2 linked regions of the Drosophila melanogaster genome follow. The protein of the gene in region 2 interacts with the protein of the main gene of each other region in a pairwise test. Each region holds a gene or a part of one and is shown on either strand. Other genes may lie near its edges.

Region 1 (16,613 bases), on a different chromosome or scaffold from region 2:
CTAATTGTGTCGCAATTAATCCGATTTTGCTTCTGCCATTCTGCCGCATTTGCCGTCTTCTGGCCCTCTGTAAGGATTCACTTCAAAATTGCTACTTTGATAGTTTTGGGGCTTAAAGAACTTACCTGCCAATAAAATCCGCTTTTTAATCTCATTTATTTGTCGGTTCAATTCGTTTAACTTGTCCGATTCCATGACTTCATCTGAGCGGCTTACCTTTGCAAATTAGTTTTCAGCAATCTTGCTCTCTGAACTGTTGTTTGTTAAATCAATACGAATGTTGTTGTGGCAACAACACGTTCGACTGGTTACCAAACACTGCATACGCTTCCTAATAACAATAATAATATATATAAATAAATAAAGTATATAGTAGTAATATGAACGCAACCATTTGTTTTTAGCTATAATTTTTTAATATTCAAATCGCAATATTTACAAAATATATTCAAAGATCGCACAATAATTTATGGCCAGCTTAAACACGCTCTCGAATGCGAGAAACGCCAAGGAATTTCCAAGGAAATCAACTAGAAGGCATTGAAAAGAAATCATTACAAATTAGGAACTGCATTCGAGGCGTGATTGGAGTGCACTATTCCGGATCCGGGCGACAAACTCAGCAGCGTGGCTGGGTTCACGGAAGGAGCAGGCGATCCTCTCCAGGGTGCCATCGCGGCAGTTGGCGTAGTTGATGTTGGTCCAACGGCAGCTATAGGAACTCTTGGTCATGTAGTCGATGCGCCACTTCTCGTCCACCCGCATGTGGATGATGAGCTCCCCGCTGACCTTGTCATGGAGTACTATGTAGTATGATCCGTGGTGCTCGATCACCTCGATTTGACCCTCGCCTGAGAAGGAGGGGGAACGGTAAGGACTCTCATGGAAACGTGGTACTTTACCTTGCCGTTTCCACTCCTTCAATTTGTTAAAACAGAAAAGTCTAACGGGCTGGCTGAACAATACCCTACCATTGTTCAGAATGTTACTTAGTTCGCCAATCGATCTGGTCGAACTAAGCCCCTCCTGTGTTTTTTTCATCGCAAATAACTTATTGTGCGTCTCCGATACATCACTTTCGGAAACCTCACTAAAAACTGAATCCTTGCTTACGTTCAAGCCATTACAAGTTAGTCCTTCGCCAGCATCTTGTCGGTAGGGTATGGGTAGTGGTTCTTTGTATGCGCTTGTACTTTTAAAATTGGGTTCCCCAGACTCCAGTGAGTTAGCATCAGTATTCTGCTGGCGGCTTTCTATCTTCGAAGTTGGCTGAAAGATGTTCTGCCTAAATACTCGTGAAAAGGTTAAAGAGCTTTTTAGTTGTTCAAATCGTTTCGATCGGCTATTATTGGAATTATCTGAAAGTAATGTTCGATTAGCATGGGAATGAAGTAGTTAAATTCCTAACTATTTACCACACTGTGATGCCTCTAGCCTTCGCTGCATTGTGAAAACTGAAATTAACGCCTTTAGTGCTTTAGAAGCTTGCTGTTGAACAATTTCCTTGGATTTTTTGTTTGTCCTGGTCGTTACTCTATCACCAAAAGAGAGCCTTACACTGGGCGTTAAAGCCAACTTGTTTCCTGTCAAGAAACTAATAACACCCAGTTTAGTTGCTATCTTCGGTTGTTCTACTAATGGAGAAATCAAATCTTCGATCTGTAGAGGAGGTATTTGAATTCCAAGTGATTTTGGCTGTAGTTTGGCAGCACTTTCAACTAGTTGACTATTTGGTTCATCACTTATGGGTTCATTTATTTCTTCGGCTCCTGTAAGATTGACTTCTTCAATGGATATATTTGATTTTTCCATTACTGGTTCACTGAATTCTGCTAAATTTAAAACATTTAGTGCTTCCGTTGACGGTAACTTCGTTTCATTAGTTTCTGTTGTTATCGAATCGTTGATAGGTTGATTTTCCGGTAGCTTCAACTGTGGTCCAGTTTCGAATACATTTTCCTCCGCAACTTGCTCAACTTCTTGGCCAGCACAAGCCATATCTAATTCCTGAATAAAATACGGCTCCATAGTTTGTTCCTCTTTGTTAAACTCTGATATAGAACACATGACTGGTCCAAAGAAGGATAAATCACCCAATTTACACTGAAAATCAATTTGCTTACGCAATGGATCGGTGATATTAATAGGTGACAGAAGAGTATTCAGCGAAAGCTTACAGTCCACCTTAAAGGACTCTTCTATGTTTGTTGTCAGCTTTGGACTTTGAACATCCAACGGCTGGTTACAGTCACTGGCTTGGGATTCCTCCGAACTGAAAGTTTCCGCAGAATTCTCTGAGTGCATCACAGGACACTCACGTTGCTCTGCTTTTGCCCCTTCCACTTGGCAGTGCAACATGGTTTAAGCTGAATATCTAGCTACGGAATAAAATTTAAATAAATACAAATTATACCGGAATTTTAAACACAAATGACTTACAGCTTATTGAGTGTTGATTCAATGTGAGATAAATTCTTGATTGACGTTGAAAGCATGTTCTACAAATATTTTGTAATTATTTGTTCATTACCATTGGAGTTGTTGTATTTGTCTTTCACCAATAATCAAATAATAAAAGAAGATTCTTTTGAAATACAAACTCAAACATTGAGACTTCTTTGTTTCCATTGTCCTTCATTTTCAGTGTTTCATAGTTTCGTTCCTTATTGTCATCAGTATCATCAGTATCGCAGAAAGGACCGTTTGGCGTTCCCATCGGTAGAAAACAACAAGATACATCTGATTCTAGGAACAACTTCCGTTCATTGTTGTCCGCACGCATGGGACATTCGGCCCCTGTGTCTAATTACAATTTGCTCTTTGTCCAACGGAGCGTATGCGTAATCATAGAGACGGCAAAAGGAAGCTGGGGCATATGGAATGGTCCGCCGTGTGGAATGGGAATCAAATTACATTGACAACAAGTTTTCGCCAGCTTTTCACCGGACAGAGAATGAGAATGGAAACAAAAGCACCTGAAGGCCAAAGTGAAAACATCGCCCAGTTTCGACATTATTTTCTGCGTGAGATGAGAATGAGGATTGTGAATGTATATGGATGAAAGCCCGCAGCTAAACAAATACGCCCGGCGACCAGTCAAAGCAAATAGCGCTGGGAAAATATTTGAATCTGAAATATGCATAAAAAATGTGGAAAAACGAATTCAAAGCTTGGCGAAATAAATAAATAGCGAATGCAAACAAAGTGGAAAATAAAAAAAAAAAAAAATGATGAAAACAAAAGGAGGGCAAGGAAACTTCCATGCCATTCCATTCTCAAAGTAAAACAATCAAAATTTGCGCACCATTAAATTTTGTATGGTACTCGTTCCACCGAAGTTTTCCCAGTTTCCTTTTGAATTTTTCGCAATTTTCTCATTTATCCCGCATCCCGTACAGACATACCCGCTTTCCTGTATGTGCTCTAAATTGACTTTCTGCTCAATGTTCAAAGCATCGTCTGATTTTTGTCTCTCTTTTTGCAGCTAAAGCTTTTGGCATCCTCGTAAATATTTTGTTGACACTCATCTATTTGCAAAACCGATCAGAGCGCAGAGACTGCGAAATGTCAGCCAAATTGTTGCTCAAATTGATTTTGATTTATGACATTGTTTTCGCAAATCCAGCTTTAGTCGCGTTGATACGAATCAAAACTTGTCGACAAAGCAGATTAAATGCGCTGCATGTTAGATTTAAATCTCGCTTGAATACAATTAAACTTATAAATTTATTTTTCATAAATGGAAAACAAACCTAATTATTTAATATCTGCTTATTTTAGTTAGCTGCCGGCCGAGGCTGTCATAAATTACCATTTGTTTAATATTAATTAGTGTGTCTATAAATACACAGATATTTATGAATTATGTACATTTTTAGCTGATTTAATATGCAATAATAAAGATAGTAAACTGAATTTTTACTTCGTAGAAAGGTCAATAAATCGAATTTATGATTTGTTTTATTTTCGCATTCCACCCGTTTGTGTACATCGTTGCAATTGCTTTGTTTAAAAATAAATTGATTTATTTAATTAGTTTGGAAGTTGGAGCTTACCATGAAAGTGTGACCAATCTTGCCTCTAAAGTGTGACATTTAAACCTAATTTAATAATCGCATAGTAACCAGCATATCACTTCAATGTGAGTATCTAGTTAAAGTGCCATTAATTTGGCTGGTTAGCCAACCAAAATGAATGTGTATATACATAGTGGAGTAGCTGAGAGGCAACATTATATTGTAATTTCAGAAACCAACTTAAATATTTAGCTCATGGTTACCCAGGCCCTCGAGTTAAATTTCATCTTCAGAGTGTGCCAGAATAACCTGGACGAAAAGTAAGGTAACCTGGGTACCTGGCGAGCTTTCCACCCGGCCCGTAAGTGTGACATTCTGCTGCTACCAGGACATGCTTCGAGCCCATTAAAACTAATTACTCATAATCATTTTGGCTGCCGCTTCACTGCCTCCGGGAAATCCATCCCATGACTTCTGGCGAGCGACAGTCACAGCTGCCACATACACATTGAAATTAATTAAAATTAAAATGGGAGTGGATATGGATATGGAAATGGAAGTGGAAGTGGGACCCAGCGAACTCAAGTCCTGGGTGATTCACATGGAAACGACTCAACCGCAGATGATGGGGAAATTAGTGGCAGGCAAAAAAAGAGCCATGGAGATGAGTCAAATGTACAAAGTCAAGTGCGCGGCGGCGGCCGATGAAAAATCTCAGCGAAATTAATTAAATTCTGTAATTTAAGGCACTCCCCGTTGGCATCACCGACTCCTGCGGCTCCACAGTGCGTATGTGTGATGCTTTCATCCTGATTATATTTAGTATCACTTCTCGGTCTCTCTTTCTGTGTTCACCTGGGTTCGTTGACCTTTCGGCCTGACATTTGCTCGATATACAAGGAATGCAGGCCAGGTCCAGGTGCCTTTGGTGCACTGACAATAAAAACTCAATTCAAAACGAAATCAAATTTTACGGAAAAAGAATAACTCAAAGTGTCTCGTTGCATTTAAATGTTATTATAGCTTAACTTTATTAAGCAGACTACTTTATGCTTTTTGTGTTTGTCGTTTAATTTAAATATTTACTTAAAAGCTATAGACATTTTAGATATGAATATGTAAATATTCTTTTAATCCCAGTATTGACAATATTGACAAATATTTATTTTATATCCTCATACTTCCTTTTTGCTCAGTGTATTTGTTTGTTTTGCATCATGCCATAGCTGTATGTGCGTGTGTGTGTGGATCCTGCAGGCATCACCTTTCTCCTGCCATCGCCCGCCAGATGGCGCCACATCTGCAGCGCTGCCAAGCGCAACGCAGCGCAAAATTATTCTAATTAGAGTGGCCCACCTCCCCGCAGCGCCGTGATATCCTTTACAGTGCCTTTGAAAAGTTAGTTCAGTTGGACAGACTCGCCTGTGTGCGTGAGTGTGTGTGTTTCTAATTTGTCTGTTATTTTTCTGGCTTTAAGCACTTTAGTTTACCAGCAGTTACACTCCTTTCAAAGAGCTAATGTGTGCGCCTGTGTGTGCAAATGGAAAAGCTTCGAGTGAAATGTATTTACCTTTCTGATTTTAAATTGAGTCTAAAGCACTTAGTCTATTACCCCCTTTTAAGCTAGTGTTGTTTGCAAGAATCTTTAAATCAGTTTTATTAGTGTTGCGTACAGCAATATGCCTTTATATATATTTGTAATTCTTATTAACTTTTCAGAAAGGAGGAGCACTTTATATAAAATGTATATAAATTATAATTCGTCAGTGGGAAAATTTCTAAAGCTGTGATAAAATGAAATTTTTAAATGTGATGGCAACCAGAATTTATATAGTAATCTCACGGCATGGCGACATGGACCAAGACTTATGCACATGATTTATCTTAAGCCGAATAACAAAAGCGGTGGCGGTGGCGATGGCACTTCCTGTGCGTGACGCAGCTCCTCCACATCCCGTTCCATGAATCACCCGCCGAGTGGCAACATGTGCTTAATAGTTTAACGCTTCGTGTGCCACTTAGCTGGGCGTGAATGCCTATCCTAAGGAGGAGCGAGCAGCCAGGAGTTGCCGCACACCGCACACACACTCATCCCTCTCCACATCGACCGTGCAATCCTGCTGATAATAATGGTAAAGTACTGCAGGAGGTGGCAATGGAGGTGATGATGCAGTCTGTCTGCCGGAGAAAGCCCCATCACATCCCAGCACTCATTTTTCGTTTCTGGCGTTAGTGGATCCTTCTCAGTTACAAATCCGCGACGTTCTTTTCTGCATGCCTGCCGTTTTGCTCCGCTTACGCGACCCCAGCCAATTTCATCTTGTTCCGCGTCATGAACGGACAGACGGACAGCCAAAAGGACGGACAGCGATTCCGGCCGGAGTCCTGGTGCCCATGTCCTCTCAGCCTGACATCGCGTGTCGCATGATGTATGACATTTTTGCGCCTCATAAACAGCTGTGCTCCACCCATGGTAATAAGGTACTTACACTCGGAGAAATGCTAGATACTAGTTTCAGAAAAAAACAAAATATTTAAAGGAAAATATTTAACAAATCAATTTGTGAAGCTTTGTTCTCATGTTAACACATAATTGGAAAGAAAGAAAAACTTAATGAAAGGCTCGATTTTAGGCAATTTTTTTTTTTAGTGCTCATGCTTCGCGAACCAGGACACCTGTCATCCTCTGCTCACCTGGTTGCTCTTTTGTTTTTGTGCATCGTCCAGACAGCCTGTACAAAGTGGGCGGCTGGCTGTATTTGAATTGGGTTGGAGCTTGGGGTTGGGTACTGGGTACCGGTGACTGGTGACTGGGGTTTGGGGTTTTTGAGGGTGGTGCCGTGTTGTTTGTTTTCGCTTGCTTTAACGAAATTGGCACGACTGGCGGGTGACGACGATGCCGACGTGTTGACTGTTTGGATGTTTGGCTATTTACTCGTTTACGTTAACGGTGAGCTGACTTATTTTCCCCGGCGGTGCAGTTCAAATATGCCGGGAGTTCCTTTACCCGCAACCGCTTGACTGCACGAGTCAAGTGAATTGACCTTTGATCCTTTCGAATTTCGTTTCCGAATTCCGTTTGTTTCGCAGCTAAAAACAAATATTCAACTAGACAGATGGACATAATCAGAAATATCTCTCTTTTGCACATTAAATGTATCCCACCATTTTGTATATTGATTAAATATTTTTGGTACACATTCGTTGTGAAAAATCGCATTTTTCTGGTGAAATGCTATCTCTGACTTTTATATGTTTGCATTTTTATCGGAATCGAACAAAAAACTGCGTGTGTTTTTCACACTGGCTCAGAGAATATGTCAGCCCGAAAATAAAGAAATACATTTGTTTTTTAAGCTATTTATGCAATCCATACTTCGTATAAAAGAAGTGGATTAAGTGGCCAGCATTTTATAATATTTTGCTATCAGTAGCTATGTGACAACGATCCTGGAATAAATATGGCGCAAAATGAATGGAGAAGTTGCCTTAAACATGTAGAACACCTGTAAAAGTTCAAATTAAATGAGTGGATTTCACAATTTTTTTTTTAAACAAGTGAAGCATACACAGATGTCTGCCCTCGACGGGCAGATTTTATTTGAAGTGTACAGTAAACAGCCAAAGTTTTCCATCCACTAATTGAATAAGTTAGTTTTCCGGAACGGAACATGCGGTTATAGTTGGCTTCCTTTTGGTTCGGCGGAGTGGAATGGATTCCCGGCGGCACGAAATGCTGCACACAGAGATGGCTTAACTTTTCGACTTCCATTTATTTGCAAACACACTCATCATCATTTGGGACTGGCCGTGCCGAAAATGCCATTAAAATCACATTTCGATTTAATTTGCATAAATTGAAGTCGAGGCAGCCAGTGGAAAATGAAGCCGAATGGCCGTCTAAACATGAACTAAAGCGCCATTCAAAATCGATTCGAAATCAATTAGAGAGTGATTTCCAATATATATACATATATATGAAATTAAATGCTTAGCCACTGTGAAGTAAATCAACCAAATCGCTCGAATTTTGGTCCGGGGTCCTTTTAAATGATGGGGTCCAAGGACACTAGGCGAAGGATTATGACACTTTTTGCGGCCCGCTGGCTGCACATTCGGCCTTTGCTTTTATTGAGCGAAATGAAAAATTCAATTAAAATGCACACATGCTCGGAACCCCACAACTCGGCAGCCAAAAACCCTTAAAAACCCGGCAACATCATCCAGTAGCAGGCAAAAAAAAAAAAAAAAAAAAAGAAAAAAATATGAGAGCGGAACGAACGCTGGCTGGCAGGAAAAACGAAAGGAAAGGAAACGAGAATGTGAAAAATCAGCATAACAAAGTGGGAAAAACTATGAAAATGCATGGCCGCTTTCACTTTTGTTTTTTTTTTTTTTTTTTGGTACATTTTCCTTCTTCATTTTTTGTGTTTTTTTTTGTAGCTTTTTGCCACGCTTCAGGAGCCTGGCTACCATCCAGCTAGACGTACTCATGTGTCCATGGAGCTGGGGACAGGCGACACAATATAGCATCTCCATATCTCTCCGGTGCTCCCAAAAGTTACGGGTTACGGGTTGGAAGTGCCAGTATGTAAATAGCCGAGCGCTGCAAGCCCATTACATTTGCACAATGAATTAGACCTAGAAGGCTTTTGTACGGCAGGTCCTGCGAAGGATTCTAACCGAATCAGCGTTTATTGTTGTCGACCCCTTGCGAGTTACACATTTTGGGACTGTGATAGGAAAATTAGATATAGAATGTAGAAAGTACTCTTTGTAAAATGAATAATGAAATGAACTAATGAATATTAAATGGGATTAAAAATGTAAATGCGTTGAATTCTATTGAAAAAGGGATTTATGAAAAGCTTTTCGTTTGAAAATGAACGAAAAAATTGTTCTGCCAATTATCTATCCCAATTATTTCTCAACAAATTTACACTGACACGTTTTTGTTGATTATTTTCGATTGCGCATTAACGTTTATTATTTTAAATTCTGTTGGTTTGTGCCATTTTCTGGCATTTTCCAAAATGCGAATATTAAACGACGGCAAATAGTGCAGCGACTGGTGGGAAAACAGTAGATACATCTGTGTATCGTGGTGCTAATGAAACAAATGCCTAAACCCCACGACCTCCGGTGCTGTCAGAATCATTTGATATGGGAGGAATTTTAGAAAACCCCGAACACCCAGCAAACAAAACCCAAAAACTGCAAAAGCTGAATTTACGGTTGAATCGACAATCGGAAACGGGGAACTGAAAACGGGGCAGGCGCGTTGGTGGAACACGGTTTTATGGCGGATTTCGACGGAATATAAAAATAAAATTGGATTTTAGCGTAGATCGTAGAAGGCCGTAAATATTTTTCAATTCACTGGCCCACAAAAGCGTGTCATGGGGGGAACGAAGGGTTGGCACATATGATTTCCCCAAGGGGCGCAAAGGGGTTGCATTTGGATTCTGCGGTTGGGAATCGCGTGCAAATGATTTGGCAGTATTAACTCACCGACACCCGGGATGGCAAAAAATTGCCCGCCGGAGGCGTCAAGACCCCAAAACACTCAAACCCCTAAAGTAGGGAGGATGCTGGTGATGCGGCGGAGCAACATGTGGGCTGGGGATTATCGAGCGGAGAGAAGGCCTCATTTGAATGCCGAGCAAAGCGATTCCTTTTTTTTTTTTTTGTTGTGTGTCTTCGGTGCGTGTGGGCGGGCAACCCTTTTGGGTCCTTTCAACGGCGGTTGGCGGTCCTCTGCTCAGGCGTTAGATACAAGTTGGAGCCCGCTTTGGCTACCTCAACAAATCCTGCGAAAACTCATTTCGTGTTGCTGGCGCCAAATTGATTTCATTGCCTGTTTGTGTTTTGTTTTCGCAGCTAAATGCCAAATTCCCTTTATCCTTTTCGAATCCTTTTGTTTTGTAGAGAATAATTTCTAGTGGCGGTTTCGCCATTATCTTTAACAAATATATAAGGGCATTCCTGCGGCATTTTGATTAAAACTTTGATTGGAATTTCGAGGGTGGTTGCAGAATTCTTGCTAACGTGGCGTGAAACTCGTTTCAAATATCTTTGATAAGCATTAAGATATAAAACATTAGAAATAAATAAAGGATAATGTATTTATTAAAATGAAAACATTTATAAGACCAATTAAATATCTATTATGATTTATAGGATCTAGTTATCAGCTGCTTTGATTCCACCCAGTATGAAATTTATAAGCCGAAACACACTTCTAAATAGTTATTCGAGTTTCTTAGAGAAATGTGTCAAGATGATTAGAATAGGGGGAGGCACCACCAGGAACAGGGGATCCTAGATGGCTCTACGAGTGCTATGGAGGCGAATGACGAATGCCATGGACCGGTTTCATCAGATAGCCTTCAGCCCAAAGTATCTCCTATTTACCAACATCGGGATCTCTGTGGGCCTGAGCATGGTGGGCGATACCATGGAGCAGTCCTATGAGCGCCTCATAGGAGAGCTTCCGGATTGGAACCGAACGCGTACCATTAGGATGGGCATATCCGGGTTGACGGTGGGCCTGGTGTGCCACTATTGGTACCAACATCTGGACTACTTGTTTCCGAAGCGCACCTATAAGGTGGTTGTAGTCAAGATTTTGCTGGACCAGTTCATCTGCTCACCCTTTTACATCGCCGTATTCTTTCTCACAATGGCCATTCTGGAGGACAATACGTGGGAGGAGCTGGAGCAGGAGATTAGGGAGAAGGCCTTAGTACTGTACGCTGCTGAGTGGACCGTGTGGCCATTGGCACAGTTCATCAACTTTCTGCTGATCAAGCCGCAATACAGGGTATTCTATGACAACACCATCAGTTTGGGCTACGATATCTATACGTCTCAAGTTAAGTATCGTAAGAAGCCGGAGCCAAAAGATAATTCGTAAATGGAGAAAAATATTTGGAATATAGCTCAAATCTAATGGTCTTAATATGGTTGTCTACTGTTCTGGACTGCCACTGCAAATCATACAATAGCAGGTCCTGAAAAATGTCATTCCAATGCCTTAGATCCTGGAACTAAAATTTTGGGTGTCCTTAAATAAAATTCTTCTTTGAAGAAAATCAGCAAAGTAGAAAAATTCAAAATCTTTATTCCTTAAAGTTGCCGGCTGTGTTAGCAAATATTTTTAAAGCAAATTTCCATGTAGAACGGATTACTCCTACAGTTAAAAACATTCTTAAAAAATAAAAATAGTTGCTTTTTATTGAAAATATTCATGCTCCTTCAATACATTTTTCCAGTTATTGCTCAATTACCAGGTCGTTGGCGTTAAGATCTGAAAGTAATTTATTGTAATTGTCCAGATATTATAAAATGTTATTCTAATTGTGACGACGGCTCAACCTGACGCCATGTCTCCGGATGTCAAGCTGGTCGTCCTCCTGTTTCCCGAGGATGAAAGGTGACCGCCCGATTCGGGGAAGGATGACTCCTTGTCAAATGCAGAACGTGGGCGGAACTTTTTTTGCGGGGTGACTGCGAAGGAGCAGATTCTGGGCGGAATTCTGGGTGAATGGCATCAAGGACCAGGGAGACACTCGAGCCGTAAGTCCTCGACGTAGAATTGTGTCAAGCATACAAAATAAATAAAAACCCAGGACGGGCGGGCACGAATAAAAAAAATGCCGAAAAGAAAGGGAAATCAAGTGACAAAATTGATGTCAAGATGAGCGAGTGCCGACCGTGCCAGGATATCCACATCCAGGGGGCGCAGAAGCGGGCTTCACGGCCACCGCCAGTTGACACCACCAAGGATAGAGACTAACATCCACTCACACACACATGTCGACTAATCCAATTTAAATCTCTTAACATGATTTGCCGCTTTCTTTTCATTTTGTTGGATTTTATGCCATTATCCCTTTTGGTCTCCTCGTGTCCTTTTGGCTACCGAATTGCCAGGCGCAACGAGATGTCATTTCTCGTTCCACAGTGGATGAATTAAAGGATTTATTTGTCAGATACTCTACTGGCCGAAGAATATAAATTTAATTTAAAGTGCAAATAGCTTCTGAGCCATCATTTTTAATGAATTAAATACTTGATAAGTATTTAAGAACTTCACTACATGATTTTCACTCGCCATCGATTGTCCCATTTGGTCCACTGTGCATGCCATTCACATTCCTTCTTCCCACTGGCAAGCTGACTTCCTGTCCTCACTGTTATCTCTCCCAAGGAGGATGCGCCTTTAAGAGGCAAGGACACCGAGGACCCCAAGCACACCAAGGACTGCGGCCAAAGGGTTTATTTATTTGGTTTAGCGGCGGACTGGCTTGCCTTAGTCGCTCCATCCTCATTTTGTGATTTAATTTAAAAGCTCAGTTCCAGTCCCACCCAGCGAATTCCTTTTCAGAAGGAATTGGTGGATCCTGGGGCTCTGCGGCACGTGGCCAGCCAACTCAGTTGGGGTCCCTGATGAGTTGTGTGCGTGGTTAAAGTATCCCACAATGAGACTACGTGTTGATGAGCGAGTTTGTCAAGCCACCGACGATGGCTAACCAAAAGCAGAAACAACGAAAAAACAGGACTTCAAATTAAGCTGTTTGATGATTTTCATATCTCAATTAATTATAAAATCAACAATTATTTGAAGGTATTCAAAATATTTAAGGTGTTTTTTTTATATTTTTTTCTACCTATTCATACCCGTAAAACTCAGTTCGAATTGATTTAATGGCATGATAAAAATGTTGACACCTGCTGTAAGCAATTAGATAAGCACCCATTGAAAGCCTGTGTAAGGGATCTGATCGATATCTACTATATATGTACATATATATGGAGGATGTACATGGAGGATTCTGTGCCATTTGAGGGTCGAGCACTCTCATCCAACCACCCAGCCATCCGATTCAGGTGGGGCAGCCACGTTCAGTTAATTGGCACTCAGAGCCCTCAAACAGAAATGCCAATGATGTTTGTCTACGAAATTACCCCGACTGGAGGGCAGAGATGTACGGTTATGTTGCGTAGTCTGTATGTTGAGGTGGAGGTTCCCATACAATCCTCCGGACCACGGAGTTTGTCTACGGGTAGCCGACCATAACCTATGCCCTTGTAATGGCATTGTGTGTAAATACAGAGCAAGAAAAAAGGTTGTGAAACTTATATAACAAACTGATCTGGCACTAAGCAGATAATATAGTTGAATTCACATACACTTAGGATTCAGATAACGATTTACTCCAGCTTAGCAAACTGTTCATAGTTTCCATTTAATTTTTTTATTAAAGACACCGATTTTTTCGCAGTGCACTTCAGCTACTTGCAAACAAAATGAGTACAAGCATGAAAATAAAAGGAAGTGGAGCATTGTGTAGTCGACATGCCCAGCAGTTATAATTCCATTTGCGATCATAAAAATGCATTACGATGGTAAGCTGCCCATAACAGGCTACATAATTAACGAGATATTCACGAGAACGGTCAAGCACTAGACTCGCCCATTGTTTCGCTGAGTGTAGGAGAAAATGGTTGCAAACGGCTTTTCAAACAAAAATGCCATAACTGGCTTGAGAACACGTGGCATATGTTACGGATGGCGGGGATTCCCCACCATTTTACCCCGCACAAAAGTTGCGTCAACTTAATTAGCCATAAATTAGCCAGGATTCACGCGTTTTTAACGACTTGTTTGTTCGCCTGGGGAGCGAGACGAGGGATTGGCAATGATGGCTCTGTCCCATCATGATGGCCCTAAGTCCATCTGTCAGCCAACTTGAACGAGTTAATTTATTTATCTTGCCGCAGCAACAGCAACAGCAGCATAACCCCGTTCTAATGCCAGTTGATTTATCTAGCTGAGTTGCTCAAAACTTTCCGTCCAGGATGGGGGCATCTCGTTACTCCGTCAAAGTCCTATTGCGGACAGCATTGATAAATATGGGTGTAAACAAGCTGCTGTTCCGTTCAAGCAAAGATAAGCTGGGGAGGATCAGGGCATTAACTCGCTACAGTAAATGGATAATAAATGCAGTCATTTCATGGGGACTTGAAAAGCATTAAAAAGTAGTTTAGTATGAGAACGAAACAAGAGGGTTCTGTTCGTCATTCCCTTTTCTACAGCCGCCTATTAGCGAAACTTACTTTTTTTCACAAAAATTATTTTGCTACTTCAACAATGAATGAGACCTTCTACTTCCTCTTAATGTTACCTTTTTTTTCTGAACAAACTTTGGTTACAAATAAAATATATTTATATGCATAAGTAACCACCCACGCCATATTTTAATATCCTCCAAAATCCCTAGCGGTAAAAGTTTGAAGGAAAACTTTGAAGGCAACTATGCTCATGTGGGCGAATCCCTTTGACCCGTTTCCGTTACGTTTGCCATCGGTCAAGAGGCTTCGTGGAGGGCCATGATATTTCACAGCTGTTTGGGTAGTAAATCAACCGCATAATGGAGCCATACAAAGGCCATCCAACATCCAGGATCCAACATCCACCATCCGATGGCCAACAATCCAGCTGGGCCCCATTGGGCCTCCGGTGCTGCTGCTGTGGCAGACTAGTCGATGATTAAAAACTCTTAATTGTTGGGCTCTGGAAAATTGAATGAGCATTAAAGTGGCCAAACGAAAGTGAGGGGTGCGGGGATCATGAATCGTGGTCGGGCAACTTCATGCGAGCTTTTCAATCCGGTTTGCATATTTAACCGTAATACCTACAATCCCTGAATACCCGGATAACTTTTATGCCTGTCCTGGCAATGGAATCGCACTAAAATCGGCAACAGCGGCGCAAACAACAATTACAGAGAGCAAGGCAAAAACAACAGCAGCCCAGCACCACCACCACCACCACCACAGCAACAATCGAAATGAGAGCAACAAATTTTAACGAGCACCACAAAACCCCGAACGCGCTGCTTTTTTAAGCCGCTTTCATTTACCCGGGCCAAAAGCACCTCGAAATCCTCACCACTCCCCACTACCCTCTCCTTTGTTATTCCCGCACTCCGAGTTGTGTAATTACAAAAAAGCCGCGGGCTGAAGTTGGTAGCATAACTTGACAAATGGCACGACGGTGGATTGGAGTGAAGGAGAGCTGGGAACGGGCCGGTTAACCAGGATAATAGGATGAAGCAAATGTAAATGAAGCAGGGACCTTCCAGCTAGCGCTGGTAAGTGTGTACAAAAAATACAACGAAATAATATTAACAAAAGGAAAGAACACACAACACGAATCGCAGCACAGACGTTGACTCAAAAATCTGTTAAGGACATCTCCAACTGGGTTTTTTTTTTCTTCGCCCCCTCTGAGTCCCAAATGGAACATCGCCGCAGGTGACGTGTCCGTAGGAAACAAAAAAAAAAAAGAAAAAGAATAAAAAAAGGAACAGGATTCGCGACGCGTGACTACGGATTTATTCGTGTTGGCTGGGAAACTTCCAAACATAGTGAAAAGTTTGTCGTATCTGGATTTCCATGTGCGATACCATCGTCTATGACAAATATGTTAAGCTATCTGGATGCTGTCTGAATTCACTTATTTGAAGTACAAATTTACGTACTCCGGTCGTCCAAGGTGTTGGAATACAAATGTTTTTGGCACATACCCGTTGGCTTTACATTTGTTTAACATCTCTGTAAAAATAGTGAACATATCCATTGAGTGGTCATATCTACAATATACTTGTTAAATAGTAGTGGTATATGGACACCATAAGGCATACAACTACAGTATAATTCGCTTAGCTGCATCGATAGTTAGCTGCATCGGCAAGATATCTGCATTATTTTTCCATTTTTTTGTGTGAATAGAAAATTTGTACGAAAATTCATACGTTTGCTGCATCGCAGATAACAGCCTTTTTAACTTAAGTGCATCATATCAGCTGTTTTTTTTGCCAATTTCAATGAATATCATCAAAGTTAGCTGCGCCATCTATGAATCATTTTTGCATATCTAAAAGATGGCAAGAATGCCAACTCGTTTCAGTATCTGCGCATGTCCGTTTTTGTTTTTGCTTTGATCGTGATTTTTGTGTTTTTGTTTCTTATGACACAAAGTTATTAAAATGGGTAAAACAAAGCGTGTCGTTGGACTAACACTAAAGGAAAAGCTTCAAATAATCGAGTTAGTGACCAACAAAGTGGACAAAAAGGAAATTTGTGCCAAGTTCAAATGCGACAGATCCACAGTCAACCGCATTTTACAAAAAACAAATGAAATTCATGAAGCTGTGGCCGCGTCAGGTTTAAAAAGAAAGCGTCAAAGAAAAGGAGCGCACGACTTAGTAGAAGAAGCCTTATACATTTGGTTCGGACAGCAGGAATCAAAGAACGTAATTCTTGACCGGCACGTCATATTAGCAAAAGCGAAAGAATTTTGCCAAAAATTTAACGACGCCTTTGAACCTGACGCCAGCTGGCTTTGGCGCTGGCGCAAGCGCCACAATATAAAGTATGGCAAAATACACGGCGAATTAGATGATGATGAAATCGTGCGCTCTTTAGTTCAAGATGCAAAAACCAGCGATAACGAAGAAAGCCATAGTGATGAAGATGTGGACGATACTGAGCGTCCTACTTTTAAGGATGGGTTTGCAGCAATTAAGG
Region 2 (17,163 bases):
GGTGAGGCATTCGCCACCATCACTCCGCCATCGAGGGTAGCCTTGAGGCCAAAGGGTGGATTGCAGGTGTAGGCGATGCTCATGTTGTTCGTGTGGCCCACAATCGTCGGTATGGGACTCTTGGTGAAGTTCAACGAGGGCGACATGCTGTGGTGCATATACAACGGCGAGTTTACGCTGTTGTCCCTGCAATATTGATATCCATGAAGTTTAGTTGATGATCTTGCAACATGCCTTCAATAGCTTACCGTAAGCTGCCGGAGACCGAGTTATTGACCGAATTGTAGGCGTGATTGGTCCCATCTGACACCGAACCAACCGAGTTAACGCCGTGATGTGATTGTACATCGAGGACGCCCAGGCCCAGGTGCATCTTCTGGCGCATCAGCAGCGCCTGATCCTTGCCCTTGGCACCCGGTGGCAGTGGAGCATTCGAGTTCAGATGATGCTGGTGCGGATCCTGACTTCCCAGTGTGGGCACAGTCGTCTGCAATGCATAATGCATATAAATAAGAATAAAGCCAAAGCTTAAGGCTATCAAACAAGCCAAACTTACGCCAGATGTGGAGCCAATGTGACCGACAACGGAGTTCCTCAGACTGCTGCTGCTGGCATTGCTGCTGCTGCCGCCGGCACTGTTGCTGCTGTTGCTGTTCAGCATTCCCGACATGGTGGGCAGCATTGTGGCGCCCGTCACCGGGCCACCGCCCGTTCCGCTGCCGTAGTGCAGTCCCCCCGTCGCACCTGTGCCCGTCGCCACGGATGCGGAGGAGTTGGCAGTTGGGTGGGAGGACAAACGAGGCAGGGCATTGCCCATTGGCTGATCGCTGTTGCTACCGCCGCCGCCTCCGGGACCGCCTCCGCCCGGACCGCCGCCGTGTGTGGTGGGCGTGCCGCTTAGCGAGTAACTGGCTTCCGAGGTAGGCGTCGAGTCGCCGCTTATATCCATGTCAGCATTGTCGTTGTGTCGACCTGTCGGTAGGATTTTAAAATCAATTAACTAGATCCTACGCAACCTGCTTTATGCTCACCATCCAAACGCCTTCGATGACTGGGCGGACCGCCATCGTTGTCGTAATTCCATCTCAGTCGTGAATTGTCCCGCGAAGAATTGGAATGTTTGTATGCTGCAAAGAAAAACACATGTTTTGAATATCATATTTGAAATTTCTGAAGCAGGTTCTTAACTCACTTGATCTGGAGAAACGATCATCGCGGTCGCGATCGCGATCCTTGTCACGATAATCCTTCTCACGATGCTGATCGCGCGGCAAATTTCTGTAACCATATAACACATTAATGACTATTTAACCAAGGACTAGGGTGCTCTTATTACAGATTCTTCCCAAGATCTTTGCTGGTCATATTATAATGCCATTGCCTTTACCTTTCTCTGTCCACCCATTCCTTTGGCTTCTCCCACTGAGAGATTTCCGTCTTGCAGTTGTAATAATACATTTTGCCTGAAAGCAATCCAATATTATAGTTTGGAGCCTGGAGAAGAATAAGCTGTCATGGGGGGACTCACCTGATGAGCTGACATGCTCGCTCCAGTCGCCATAACGCGCCGTCCGTTCGCCGCGATCGCTGCGCTCTCGTTTGTCTAACAAAAAAAAAAACAAAAGCCACAGAGTATGTTTAGTAAATAAGGGGAGATGTGGGGTAAATGGGCGCTTGGACCTACCTGCGTACTTGTCCTTCTTGTACATGTCCCTGTCGCGATCGGAACCGCGGTCCCGCTTGTCGCGCAAGTCGCGCAGATCTCGATCCCGATCTCGATCGCGATCGTCGGACCCGGATCGTTTGTCGTTCTCCCGCGAGGAGCAGAGCTTGCCGCTGCCGCCTCCGCTGCCTCCTCCGCCACGACGATCCCTATCATGGTTGGTGCGATACGACGACTCCGAATCGCGATCGTTGCCACGCCGATCACGTTTATCTATGAAGAATAGAATAATGTATTGTTATGGTATACAACTCCAACTTGCAGCTGCGCTAACTCACCTGAATATTTATCCTTCTTGTAGACATCCCGATCTCGATCTCGCATCTTCTGCATAAAGCTGTACCGCTCGCCACTGCCGCCACGCCCATTGCCGCCACCTCCGCCCCGATGATCGCTGCGGTCGCGCAGATCGTGCGAACGGGACGACGGCGAATCAATGTCCGGCGACTGGGAGCGGTAGCTGTTGCCATTGTTCAATGGTCCGCCGCCATTTCCGCTACCGCCGCCACCTCCTCCAGCGGATCCGCCGCCTCCTCCACCGCCAGCGCCTGGCGACAGGTCACGATCGCGATAATTGGAGGAACGATCGCGTTCGTAGTCGCGCTTTGAACTGCTGTACTTTGAGCTCTGCACGGGTAAATAAAAGCGCACACAGTTTTTAGTCGATTTACATTCCCAAAATCAATTGCACAGTGCTACAAAATACAATGTTTGTCGAGTACTCTCTAAGAAATCGCAGTAAGGATTCAAGATGTGGTCAATATAATCAGTACATCAAGTAATGTAGCCAATATATGAGTTTTTCGTGTTCCAACAAATGGGATTAATTTAGGAAATCCTTACTGAATCTCTTGGATAGTACCAACCCACTGGTATATTTAGTATTGCATTCTTAATAGCGGTTGATTTAAGTCTCGGTTTAGTTGTAACTTTTGAAGTTGGGTGGTTGGTTAGTTGAACTAAATCTACTCAATAGGAAAATCATAAGTTAATGCATAATGCCAGCTACTTTTGCCAATTTTCTCGCTTGTGATTATTGCCAATGGAAACGAAAGGATACAAAAAGAAAGTTGGGTGAAATGAAACTCCCGATGGTTTGAGAAATCAAATGTGTAATCGAGAAGAATTTTGAAATGTGTCGTGTGTTTGGTGTGTGTTTTGGTTTATCGTCTCCTGAGTAAATTATATATTAATTGAAACTAATTATTTAGGATTTTTTTAAGTGATACTTTCGTTTTTGGTTCATATTGGTCGTTGTCTTCAGGTTATCCAAACTGAAAATCTAATTGTCCAGTTTAATATTAATCAAAATTAAAATCCTTGTTTGTTGTCCATCGTAAATTTTGGGATCATCCATAAAATTCCAATCTTGTGTTTATCAAAAAATTTTATAATAATTAATAAAGAATCCTTCATAATTGAGTGGTGTTTCATTGTTTAAGAGATATAGAATAATAACTCTTTGGGTGTTTGGTATGTAAATCATAATTTGTTGATGTTTTTTATTAGCGGCGATTTGTGTGTCGTTTTAGTCAGATTTTTGTTTAAAATATACGAGTTTGGATGGAAGATTTATTCCTGCTGCATGTTTCATGTTCTGTTGCCTTCTTTTGATTTTTATTATTCATTATTAAGTAATTTTATTTGTTCCTTAATTTGAATGTTTTTTGTTTATTCCTTATCAGGATTGCTTTTCCTGCGCACAGCACGATGTTCGTGGCACTTTATTGGTTTTTGATCACTTTATTTGCGTTTTTATATTTTACTATTGTTTTTAACCATTATTTTCTGGGATCTTTGGGTTACTTACTTCTAGGCGACAGAGACCCACTGCTGAAGGCGTTGAATTCGCTGCCAGCGTCGCTGCTGATGCGCTGTTTTTGTTATTGTTGTTATTGTGGTTGCTAATGTTGCTGTTGCAATTGGCAATTGTTGTTGTCGAAAGGGAGAGATCAACAGCCATGTTGTTGCTGTTGTTGTTGCTGCTGCCGTAGGAGTTTTTGTTGCTCCTCATAGATAATTAATTGAAGTGTATTTGGTTTTAATTTGAATTAAAAGTCCAATTGGTCGCTTGTTTTCGAGGGCACACTTTATTTGGCTTTGGTTTATTTCCTATTTGTTTTGCATTAGTTATTTGTTGGTGTCTTAATTGATTGTTGTTGCTTTATGTATGAGGCACATTTGTGTTTTTGTTGTTGTCGTTGATTATTTCGTTAGACAATTTGGAAATTGGTTTGTTCTTCCGTTCCGCACATTCATGTTATTTTTAATATTGGTGTATAATTGTTTACTACGTCGTTTTTAAGGCTATTTTAATTTGATTAGGTTCCTATTCCTTAGGCAGAGTTTAGAAATTGGTTATGCATTCGATTTCTAATTAATATAGTTTGATAAATTTGTATACTTTTAACCATATATATCATTCGATTTAAAACATTTGTTGGTGCTGTTCGGTTAGATGTTGTAATTGATTAAATGATCGAATTCGGATTGGGTTTGTTTTTTGTTTGTTTTTTTTTTTTAGCAGTGATGCGTACAGATTCGTTTCTCAAGTTAAGATCAGTTCAGGCTGCAATGCCGCGTTTTTGAATGGGTTAAAATGAAACACGATTCGGTCAGTTCAAAAATGGATGAGGTTACGGGAACGTAAGATCTGGGATGCACAACAAAGACAGCGATTGACAAAGAAGGAGAAATATGAACCAAAAATAATCCAAAATCCAGGCTATACAATTTGCAAATTTTGTTAATTTTTCTCTTTACCAAAATATCAGCAAATGACACTAGGGAAATCGACGGTTCGATAAAAATACGATTTACATTGGCTTTTACATTCTTTTTTTTGTGGCTTTGGGTGCACTACGGGCTAATGAGCTAAACTACAAAATTAAAAATGTCCACTAAAAGCTGGCATGTAAATGTGATTAATTGCGGTGTTCGAGGAGAATTTTCGGATCGGTCTGCTTACCTGGTATGATGTGTGACTGGTATGCTTCTCAAAGTACCTGGAAAACGGTGGGGCAAGATGAAGAGTTCATTAGTTTCCTTTCAAATGAAGTTGGGTATATAAGACACACTTAGTTGGTTTAGTTCTGCTATACTCGCTCTAAATATGTAATGATTTAAGGGAAAATATTCAAGTGTTTGAAGGAAACACAACAATGTTTATGACATGACAAAGTGCATATTTCGAAGTTAACCAGCTATTTCAGCTTATTTACAACGCACTTTTAAACGCACTGACCTGAATCGATTTTTGTCAAATTCTCTATTTTAAATCCCTTTGTTTGTGTTAGAAAATCAAATTTAAATATTAAACCCACTAAATAAATGCCAATTGTAAATCGATTTCCCAATTCCGATTGAGCTTTATTTTATCAACAGAAGCGCTTATCAATTGCCGGCATTGATTTGTTGACAGTCATTAATTTTAGTTGCTCTGCGTTTAACGGACAATCGAAAGCCGGCTAAAAAGCGATGGTAAATAAACAAACAGCGAAACGCGTTTGATAAACAATGGATATGAACTAATTTTGCGGTGCAATAAGCAACTGTAAATGTTACAAGAACTATTTTTTTTTTTTTGGCCTTTTGCCAGCTGAGCGCGTGCGAGCGAGAGGCAACTATTGTGTGGTGAAAAGACGAAAAACATGAATAGCGCGAGAAGATGGATAAGTGGGAAAATCAAAGCAAGAAACATAGGGAAAACAAATTTATTTACGAAAATCACTTAATTAGGGTAAACGGAGAAAATTTGAGGATAAAAAGGAAACGCGGGCACTGCGAGTTAGAGCGAGATGGCAGTAGGACAGAACGTAAACAAAAAAATATACAATTATGAGTGTGCTAGTTTGCCTGTGTGTGTGTGATTGTGAGTACGTTGGGAATCACTGTTATTGCCGATATTACGGTAGATTGAAAATAATATTTGATATATTACCCATCGTTCATACGCTGCGGTTTTCTAGCATGCATTACCATCAATGCAAGTTTTTCGCCAAATACGCTGCTGCTGCTTCTGTTGGTTTTCCCTCTCTCTCCTGCTCCTCCTCCTGCTGCTGCTTCTTCCGCTGCTGCTGCTGCTGCTGCTGCTTATGCGTCTGCTTCCTCTTCTCCTTCGTCGACTGCTGTTGCTGGTAGTGCTGCTGCTGCTTCCTCTTCTCGTGGAGAAGATAATGCAGCCTTATTCCGATTTTATCCAATATTCTGGGGCCTTTGGCGCCTCCTGTTTGCTCCTCCTTTTGCCTCCACCGCTTCCTCTTCTTCTTCTCACCTGCCAAGGCACGCTCGCTTGTATGTGTGTGTGTGTGTGTTGTGGTCTGCTTGTATGGGAGGCTCTCAGTGGCATGTGTGTGTGTGTGCTTTTCGTCTGTGTGGCCCGCTGACTCGGTGTTTGTGTGGCGTATATGTGTGCCTGAATTGCGGTCGCCTTATTATCGGCTTATTTTGCTGCCTCCTAAAAGTACAAACATTCATAGCAATCCTTTAGACAGCTTCCTTTTTGTCCTCTCCTTAATGCAATTAGCATTCGGAACGCCTTTAATTTTTCACTTAAAGCACACACGGCATTCGCCTCTGCGTGCACGACCGTGAGTGACTGTGTGCGTGCGTCTGTGCATGTGTGTGTGGTGTCGCTTGATCCGTATTTCGTTTGACTTCTTTTCAATTTTACTCCCTTTTTTTCTTGGTACCTTACCGCAATTCGCAATTTGCCGCTCGCCTTCTTTGCTGGGCTGCAATCGCCGCATTTATTTGCTCAGCATTGAACGACAATTGTTTAATTATATGCCGACTTGCTGTGTTCGCTTTTTGGCCTCTATACTTGATGATTTTTTTCAATTCTTTTGCATTACGCTTTGTGCGGTCTGTTCGTCGGCACGGCTGTGTTGAGTTTGCCAGCAATCGGTCGCTGCGTGCGGCTATCCCTCTCGCGCGGCACGCTATGCGGGTGCGAGAAGAGTTCGGCTATATGTGCCAATTGGCTGGTTGATATGGTGGACTCTAGGTGGCGCCCCGTTTGTGGTATTTTTTAGTGCCTGACACCGCTAGGCGTTGGACGGATTGCAAAATGGTCACTCTGTAGCCGGGGATGCCAACTAGGTTCGCATTTAAATTCTTTTTTGGTTACTGTTAAATAATAAATATATATATAAAAACATAACTTTTAACTTTTAACTTTTAATTTGACTTTTGTTATTGTACATATTATGTATATACGCAATAGCTGATCTTTATAAACTTTCGATGATACTGAAATAGTTTTAGATATAGATAGTTTATATTAATTTATCATATATTGCACAACATCATTTCGATAGTATCGCATAATCATTTCGGGCACACTGCTCAAGGGTATTCCTATCGGATGTATTGTTTCTCGATAAGCCGACTTAAAAATTATATGTTTTTTAAAAAAAATTATATATACATATTTACACTTGAGAAATAAGAAAAAGCATTTGCATATTATTAAATTCAATAATTTTTTAATTTAATATAAAACAAAAGAACAAAGAATGATAATTCAAACTGAAAAACAATGAGATTTCTTTTCATATGCAAGATCTTAAGGTGGTATAACTGGTAATAATAATTATTTGACCTGCTTTGCTAAATGCCCTTTCCGACTCCGACGAAGTTGTCCATCGACTTGCGTCAGTTTCACCACAAACCCAAAATATATATGACTGCAAGCTAATATTTGAAAGTAATTAATTATTTGAATTAATTAAAATAGTTGAAGAAATTCTAGTGATTAACCTAAAAACATCGATAGTCTGAAATAAGCATCGATGTTTGGAATATTTAAAAAAAAACCTCGGTGCATCGATATTAGCATCGATGTTTCGGCACCTCTATTAAAAACTCATCCCGATACCGATAATAGCGGCAGAAGAATTTTAGAATTCCTTAAATATATATTGTTTAATTTGTAAGCATTTTTAAGGAATGAGTTTGAGCGACTGCAACAATAACTATATATATTTGACGGGCAGTGAGGATTACGCCCTTAATTTGGCAAAGGTAAGTTCTGAACATCGGATTCAGGTCGGTTTTTGAACATCAAATTGCATTTCTTTTAGCTATGCGAACGCTTTGCCACCAAAGAAAAGCGCGTCTTACTGATCACCAGTCGCCAGCAGGGAATGGCAAAGCGCTATCCATGGGAGGCCCATAACTGCAGCAAATACCTGACCATTCTGCAACTGGTGGATGTGGAGAGCACCCCGCTTCGCATGCTGGAAATGCAGGATAGCGCCGAATCCTTGCGCAGTCCCGATTTGATAGTCTTTGATCTGCAGTCGCTCGTTTTGGATGCACTACTGCGTCCTGTGATGCAGCAGTGCTCCACGAACAAAATGGTCCGGCAAATTGCCAAGTGCTCCGCATCCTTTGTGAATTACCGCGAAATCCTGGCCAATCTGGCGGAACAGAAGGCGGGCAAAAGCATCGACACCATTGTGGTCATGTCGCAGGAACCGTATCCCATGTCAGCAGCCCAGTTCAAGCTGCTTATTGGACTCTATTTCCACGGCAACGAGTGCCACACGAATTTTGCCAAGCTCTCGGCCAAGATCATGGTCTCCCAGAGATTCGCCTAGACGAAGGACAGAAGTTTGGAGCCACTACAGTGCCTTGGTAACCAGTTCCTGAGTTTAATCATAGCTGGCAGTATTGTAGTTATTCGCCGTATGCTCTTGCTTTTCAAACAATACTTACTTAGAACGTTTACCTTATGCATTATTAAAACATGCATTTTGTCAGGTTAGACGAATATTTTCAAAGCTGGAACGAATTTTCCAATCTCGAACGAATTTCGAGTTATTAAGACTGCATTTCCATTTTATTGACTTAAAGCTATTCATATTGCCTTCCCAAAAGATATCCAAATGGGGAACGGTCGAATATTTAAGAAAATGAATTTATAAAAGGCAAGGCACGCTATATTATATCCGCATATAATACTAAGACAGTGCGTACATTTGGCAAGAACTTAAGAAATACTGTACGTTGAAAATATCTCCCTACATGGCATCCATGCAAAATGTTATACGAAAGCGAAGCAATCGAATGCTCGATCAAATATAAGACTTTATTATAGTATACTATTTAGTCTAAAAGGGATTAAAACTACCAAAAAAAAATTGCTGATAATTAATTATAATATACATACATATAACAATAATATTTATTATGCTAAACGGAAATCTCAACTTAAGGGAATTTATATGAAATAAAAAAAAAATTTCGAATGCATAAGATACGTAAATGCAGCTAAAAGTATTGGAGAATGTATTCCGGAAATACGGCTAGTGATCTCCGGAACGCAAGCCACCAAAGCCCGTTTAAAAGGAACTAAAACTCATTCACATGTAGCCCCACCCCAAATCCCTGCTGCCTTCGTCTTCGATTGGAATCCGATCTCCGCATCCCAGCCTCATATGTAGTCCAGCATGCCGCTTATGATCTCAAAGGCATCCCGAGCCGTGGGCTCAATGGCGCTGCTGGGCAGCAGATAACCGTGCACTCCGTTGTCCGCCAGCTGGAGCGTGTAGCTGAAGGGAATTCCGATCTCGTAGGCGGCAAAAGCGTCCGCACAGCCTGGATAAATCAAGGAAGCCAAAGGATTGGCAAGGTCGGATAAAGATCTCTATTATATTCTACTTCGAAGCAAATAATATAAATATTACGCACCCGATCGCTGTTCAATTAGATCGTTGGATGCGTCGACCTTATATCGGGACTTACTACCCTTTTTGCGCAATCCATCGGTACCCACCATCGCCACGTCCAGAAAATCATCCAATCTTTCTGAATTGAAAGTGGAATTGGCCTTGACCGGATAGGATATCACCTGACCATAGGCCTGTAGGGAAATGTAAAGCTGCAAAAATAATGAATAAAGTTAATAAATCAAAAAATATATCTATTTTAGAGAGTTAATATAAAAATTATATATTGTTCTAAGCATACCTTTATCTGCGTCCTATAGTCCATAAGGAACTCAGATACTGCCTTGGTTTCCGGTTCAGAAAATGGCGCTGGACCGGCGTAGAACTCATTGCAGGGTGCCTTGGAGCTACCCCGTTTGCCCCAATGATACAGCCAGTTTCTGTCCAGGTCCACCCCGTAGCAGACCTTATCCGGACCCCGTTTTTGCTGGAGCCATGTCATCGCCGAGTCGAGGAGGCCACTGGGAGGTGGAGTCTGGTGCTGAGATCGCGACTTCTTCCAGAAACGATCGTACTCGTGGCTGTACGCATATCCGTCCGGATTCAGGACCGGCATTATGTACCATGTGGTGTTCCGGATGAACTCCACGTCCTCGTTGCTTTCTGTTGAGTAAACGTTTTATGGGTTATTTTTATACATAACTTTACATAATGCATATGAAATAAATGTTAATAAATATTAATTCTCTTAAGAAAATAAATACGTTGTTCAACCGATCAACGTAGCCGCTTTTCCCCAACTCAAATTACATTAGTTATCCCTTTGTCAGTCCGTTAGTCAGTATATTTGTAGACCCAGAAATCGATAGTGTATACTTTAGACCTTTACAGCTTGCCACTTCTCCTCCAGTTGGACCAAGATCAGAATGGAGAGGCGAAGACCCCGAAAGTCCTCGCGTAAATACGTGTGCTCCAAATCAAACTCTTCAGTTGGAGGAGGAGTAGAGGAAGACAGTGGCTCATCATTGCCTGCCACCGCCAAAGCGTTACTCCTCCAGCCGGACGGTAATAAAGCACCAACCATGACATCCCTTCTGGGCGAACGACTCAGAAGAGTTTCTCGCATCGCAAGAGCTCCGCACAGCCTACAAGTTACCGAAAATCCAGAAGAAGGTGGAGCACCAATCGTACCACTAAGAGAATCCGGCGCATCGGAAGTGTCAGAAGTAAATCCGGGGGTTATGGTCATTCCGGAGTCGGCCAGTCCCCGGGGATCGGCGGTGCATGGACAACACGCTAGCTTGGTCTTCAGTGCTGAAGCCAGGGATTCGGACAGTACGCGGATATCGGAGGAAATGGTGGAAGTGTTCCAAACCTCTTCGGCGAGAACCACATCCAATGAGCCCGCAGGGGGCAATCTGCGCTTTGAAACCACTCCCGTGGCTGTAAGCGAAAGTATGGTTGGCAATATAAACTTCTCCCCGAACGCCATCTACGATCAGAACAGGTATAGCAGCATGATGTCCAACGGGGATTACAATAATGGCAACAGGGGTGAGAGTGAGAGGAGCGTGGGAGCCTGCCACCATGGTTGGGCGGCGCGACAACAACAAGTTGCCGCTGGACCTGCCGGCAGAGACACCCTGGGATTCGCCATCAGTCTGGGCGCCGCTAATTTGGGCCAGAACCGATGCAGTCTGGGCGTTGCATGCGATGAGGACTGTGGCTATGGAACTGGCTGTGATTTTGGATGCGGTCAGGCCCATGGCGTTGATCCCGGAAGCTTTCTAGGTCCGGGAACCATGGGAACTGGTCCATTAATATTGACAACGGGATCAGGAGGCCCACCTGTACAGAGCGCCCTACGAGGAGCTCAAGGTGGCGGCTATAAGCAAGTTGGCGCCGGGCAGCGGGGAACTTTTGGAACAGATTTCGGAAGTGAGCAGCTTAACTTCTTCATTACCTTCCTATTGGAGGTCCTCGGTGTTTTAGTGTGAGTATATATTTATATATTCCAGGATTGGATCATTCCAACTCTATGATAATCTACGTAATCTTCCATTAGTTTTTTTGCCATCTGCACGATAACATTTTGGATTACTCTGGGCTACCATGTTGTCCAGTTGCTGGTGGACCTGAAGAACGCCGATCGCAACATTCAGGTGGCGGTGGCCATTGTGTTCGGGCTGCTGCTCGTTGCGTTTGCCATATCGCAGGTGACCAACCTCAGTGGTTCCTGCTGTCATTCACGGGATCGAGCCCGTTCCAGAACCAAAGGTGGTGGCATTGGCTTCTTTCACAGATCCACCAAGCCAAAGACCAAGAGCTGTGCATCCAAAACCAAGACCTGTGCTCATAAGCCGAAGATTAAGAAGGCAGCCACTTGTGGACCCAGCCTGGGCTTTCACACGCACCGCAAAACGAGGTATACGGATTGCGAGGGACGGGCAATTTTCTTGAGCTCGAGACGATATGCTATTCCGACTGAGATGAAACAACCACCCACCATTGTGCTCTGGATGCGCGACACACTGGTTCGCATGTTGCAGTAACCACCAACGAAGCCCCACGTTGGGCGCCAATAATACTTAAACTGACTTAAGACTGCGAAACTATACGTATTGCCTGGAAACACGAACCATTCGATCATTTGCAAAAATTTCAATTTGAATAAACTTTAAGAGAAAACTTTTGTAGGTATTACTAAATTGTTACTTATGATCTGGGCCAGTATTATTAATATCGTGAAATAGATGTTTAAGAATACGAACATACTAGTTCGGTAATAGTATATGTGTATATACTCACTGTTTGTTTTCATTAGTCGCAGCAGTTCGGCAATCATCCAGGTGGCCGCCGCGGGTCCAATCCAGGCCAATCCCTGAGCACCAGCTTCGACGAAAACGGCATTTGCCTGGCCCGACTTCCGCTTCCGCTTGGGTCGCTTGATGGTGTGTAGACCATCGTTGTTCGCCGCCGCCGCCGTCTGTTTGGATTCGATCTTTACCACAATTAAGGGTCGACCTTCGAAGGAACGACCAATGTGGATGAGCTCAACGAGCTGCGGATGACGCATTCGCACCGTCTCCAGATACTTGACGATCTCATCGTGATTATGGTAACGATTCCATGTCATGGGCGGTGGTGCCGTGGGACGCGGCTTCGAGGGACGAGTGGTTTGTAGGTAATCCTCTTTGGTCAGTTCGTATGCGATGGCCTTGCCCACATCGAAAATGAGCACTTCGTGCGCTATGCCCTCGTAGTTTAGAGTGCCCTGAAAGTCCACGAGCATCTTGGGTGGCACAAGAACATCCGTAAGACCTCTGAAACGATGAGGTGAGTGAGAAGATTTGGTTTAAAATGTATTGTAATAATCCCCAAATTGATTGTCATCATACATTTTTGAGCTTTAAGTCTAGCTTACCTGAGACTTGGACCCTTGAGCCATTGCAACTTAACGCCGTCCTCGCCCTTTTTGAACTCCTCCAGTGCACGGACCTGCTCTTCATCCTGCGGCTTTAGACGCCAAATCTGATACTTGTCATAGCTTATGCGCCTGGGAACGTCCGGCCGCGATGTGGTGGTTGTGGTGCTAGTGGTTCCCCTGGTGGTCATTCGAGTGGCCAAGGCCTGGAGGAGCGGATTACTTGTGCTCGTAGAGATGGCACTGCCAGTGGAATTGACAATATGATGGGCCAAAATGCCAATCCAGTTTTGTGGATTCCTCAGTGGATCCACAATGGTCAGGATGGGCACCTGGGCCGCCGCCGCCGATGGTGTGTGCGTCGTTGTTGTCGTCGAGGTGGTCGATGTGGAGGTAGTGGAACGACGTCTAAACTTACGTTTTGGCCGCGAATCGAACCAGCTGGAAAACCATTCTGTTCGTGGAGAAAATAAGTCATATATTGTGCTTGGGCTGTTTGTCTTTGGTTATATTTCCTAGCGGTGCAGAAAGCGTGAAGGAAAACGAGAACCCATTTGGGAGACCCACACCGTTAGCCATTCAATTAGGTTCTGGGTTTTCCCTTTTATCTTCCTGCTCATTCAGCCAATCTCGCCATTAAATGAACCACTCGAATAACAAGAACATAGCATGGCTCGCTTTTAATTGCACGGTAATTAGATTGAAAACAACAATGTTAGAAAATCCAAACATATAAATTAATGAATTGTCTAATCATCGTTACTATAATTCCTAAAATAAATATCAAATCAACCATGAAGTTGTTTTAACTGCCTTTATATATGCATGACTATTATTTTGGGCATAGTTTAATACTACCTAACATCCTTGCAATCTGTAAGCATTGGCCTTAAACATTGAACATTCTTTTTTGTAGTACTCACTGTCGTAGTCATCTTCCGCATCCGCCTCCGTGGTCGAACCGAATCCGAACCAGGACTCCAGCCAACTGGGTGGCGCCTTGGTGGGCGGGGGCAATGGCACTGGCATGGTAGTGGTAGTGCTGCCGATCTTCTTAGTGCGTCGCTGCAGGCCAAACCAGGAACCAAACCAGCTGCCCAGCGAGGAGGAGTCTTCGTCATCCTCCGAATCCTCATCATCCGGCTCGGCATACGCTTCATTGCTGTGGGCGCTGTGATAGAGGGTATAGCTGGGATACTTTGAAACGGGTTGTGTGGCTGGCTCCTTGTCCTCCTCCTCATCGGGTGTGCCAAAGCCATCCATAAGCCGCGACATGGCCACTTGGACAGGGTAGAAGATCATGCGAAAGAAGCCAGCAATTCCGGAGTCCTCATCGTCGTCGTAATCCTCATCGGAGTCCACCGGTCGCCTCTTGATGCGAATCTTCTTTTTGGCCATGGAGTTTTTGGTGCTTGAGGTGGCATCCAGCTCCTCGCTGCTCGATATAGTCGCTGTGGTCGTGGTTTCCTCCTCCACCATAGCTCCAAAATCAGCTCCCTCCTCCGCGGAGCTGCTATCTTCCTTGAGATCACTCTGTCCCACCTCGGTGCTGCTGCTTTCATTGGGCTTATTTTTATCCTCATCCTTGTGCTCGTCCTCGAAATAGTAGTCTTCATCGTCGTCCTGCTCCTCCTCCTCCTCCTCCCCCTCATCCTCGTAGTCGCCATCGGACATGAGTTCGAATATATCAAAACTTGGCAGCTGGGGTCTTCCGCGTTTGCGTTCTTTAACTTTTCTTTTCTTTTTTTGATTGGCATTTAGTGGAACCTTGGGTACTTCATCCTGACTGTGATTTCTGTGAAGCAGATGCAGGGCGGTGGGTATGTGAAGTACGCCACCCGAATTCTTCTCTTTCTTCTGCGTGGATGGTGGTGTTTGCTGCTTGGTCTTTCGCCTCCCGGAACTTCCCTTTGGTGAGCGCCTTTTGGGAGTACTCACCCGACGAGCTGCTACAACATTTGGGTTTCCTCTGGATAATATGGTTTTGGACTCCTTAGATACGACTTTTTGTGATCGTTTTGTAGAATCTGCTGTGACCTCTTTTTCCGCTTCTTCTGATGGAACTTTGGTCGCCTTTTCTGTTTTTATAGATTTCTCTATTTCACCATTTTTAATGCTATACAAAGAGCGACGACTTCTGCGGTGTTGTGTTCTAGAAGAATCCATTTCTCCCTGATTCTTCAGGAGCCTAGCTCTTTTAACCGCATTTTTAAGTACACTCTTCTTAATCAGAGCTTTTAAAGATGAATTTCTTTTTTTTGCGTGAAGTGGTCCCCTTCTTTTCTCTCTTCGTACATCTTCCACCGAACGCCGTATTCTAAGATTTAGTTGCTCATCCGATTGAAGTGGTTCCTGTTCTTCTAGTGTTTCACTTTCTTCCGCCGGCTCTAAGTCGCTTCTCAACAAATGCTGACTAAAGACATTGGATGTGGGCAGTGTGGCCTGGGGCATATGTGGTTTCTCCAGTTGCGTATAAGCCGGCGGTGGTCGCGATGTGGTGGTTGTGGTGGTGGTGCTCGGTCTTTTGCCCAGGATAATGGGCAAGGAGCCTTGCGGACCTCTGGTGTTATTTGCCCCATAGCCCGGCCTCTTTTTGATCACTTTAGTCTTATTCTTTGGTATCTTCTTGCGCTTCTTCCTACGTGTATTTGGCCTTGAAGTTGTGCTGGTGGTGGTGGTTGTGCTTCTGGTGGTGCTACCCGTTCGGTGGGGCAGCTTGAGCAGCTGATCGGATACATGATCGATGGGTCCGCTGGTTACCATCACAGGTGGTGGTCGATAATTTGGTTTGGGTAATTTGTTACTGGGCTTGGTTATTGGATTCTTGGGCTTCTTCAGTCGGATGATCTGAGGCCTGGCGGTGGTGCCACCATGATGCACTGGATTCAGCGTGGATATAACCGTTCCCGGTGGAATTGGCAGGCATTGCTGCTCATATTGCCTCCGCAGACTCTCCATATCGGCATCGTACTGTGCCTTTGTTACATAGATCGCTATTGCATTGCTATCATTCCTACTTTGGGTGGGTATTCCATTCGGATTATGACCCACACCCACTTGGCTAATGGCGTAGACAATCCCGGTGGTTGGATGTGTGAAGTATATGGGAAATGTGGTGCCATTACCGGCTGATTGTGGCTTTGTTTGGGGCTTGCGCGATGGATTGGGTTCCTTAATCTCTAGCAGTTCGCTCTGCACATGGAATTGATCGAAAATTGTGGATCCCGGTTGGCTTTCCTCCACAGACTCAAAGACATACGGCTGCGAGGGTGCCTGATCCTGATCCTCATCGAAAAGCTGAAAATCCAGTTCAGGCGGCTCGAAACGAATGGATGTCTGATGCTGGTAGCGCGGCACAAAACGGCGATCTTGGACGCGACGCTGAAGGAGATCGCGACCCCAGCTTTGGCGCACCAGGCTGTCGGACTCTTCGGCACTCGGATGATAGCCAAAGTCGATGGCACCCGTTCGATGGACGACATCCACGACCATGACCACGATCAAGAGCACAACGGGCAGCCCAGTTACCATGTCTAATGCTCGCCAAACTGACGATTATCCACGACGACGATATTACTATGGCTGTTTGGCTGCGCGGCTGGTTGGCAAATGAAACGAGCCCCAAGTTGCGGGCCCAACTCAGCCGGTCGGTGAAAGCCCCGTCTTCGGGCCCCTGCGCCATCACAGTTTCGGCCACTTGGCTTTTGGCCCGTAACGCTCCTCCTCCTCCTCCTCCTCCTCCCAGTCAACCTCCTCTTCTCCACTCGTCTTCTCTTCTTCTGCCTCTCTGTGGCTTCGAGCTCGCGTAACCCCAACTCCTCGAACGTTCTGGCCGCCACTTAGCTGGTATAACCCCCCCCCCCCCTTTCACAAAGCCAAACAACCAACCAACTATCTTCTTAACTGGCCTTGCGACAGTTATCGAGCCATGCCAAATTGCCGATCTAATCGGCAATGTGATACACAAGGGTTAAGCTGTAGATAAATAATGGAATCGAAAGTACAGGAGCATGGATAACCTAAGTCTTATCCTATTTCCTTTTTGCATACTATGTTTTATACTATTAATAAATCGATTTTTTTTTACAATTTTTTTTTTTTTTATATAAAATTATGTTCTGTGGATGGGAGTAAGAAAATAAAATTGTCATTGAAATTAACAACTACCTAAATTATAAATAAAATATTCAATTAGCCTTTTTCGCTTCAACTGTAATATTAAGTGGACTTTTTGCTTAGTGCTCCCCTGTGCGATCTTGGGAGGCCCCCATGCGATTTGGCTTTATGGAGGCACGCATCCCAGCAGATGGGATGAGCCAGCATGCGATGGCGATCTCGGCCAG

Evidence for each region.
Region 1: the proteins of CG4955 (region 2) and CG5906 interact in a two-hybrid assay, tested with the Drosophila melanogaster proteins (one large-scale study listed by BioGRID).

Annotation. Positions count from the first base shown.
Region 1 is NT_037436.4:11,864,966-11,881,578, reverse strand, and holds CG5906 (uncharacterized protein), read left to right. Parts: upstream 1-10,273; 5' UTR 10,274-10,341; coding exon 10,342-10,932; 3' UTR 10,933-11,122; downstream 11,123-16,613. Other genes in the region: CCDC151 (Coiled-coil domain containing protein 151), read right to left, coding at 1-67, 126-195; Sprn (spermitin), read right to left, coding at 562-1,358, 1,416-2,358.
Region 2 is NC_004354.4:17,071,262-17,088,424, forward strand, and holds CG4955 (uncharacterized protein), read left to right. Parts: upstream 1-10,185; 5' UTR 10,186-10,322; coding exon 10,323-11,389; intron 11,390-11,461; coding exon 11,462-11,948; 3' UTR 11,949-12,095; downstream 12,096-17,163. Other genes in the region: wcy (wacky), read right to left, coding at 1-186, 249-487, 557-972, 1,032-1,127, 1,193-1,278, 1,388-1,463, 1,529-1,603, 1,685-1,936 and 2 more; CG4949 (uncharacterized protein), read left to right, coding at 7,673-7,747, 7,807-8,325; CG8945 (uncharacterized protein), read right to left, coding at 9,162-9,325, 9,419-9,608, 9,698-10,059, 12,205-12,719, 12,821-13,274, 13,744-16,351.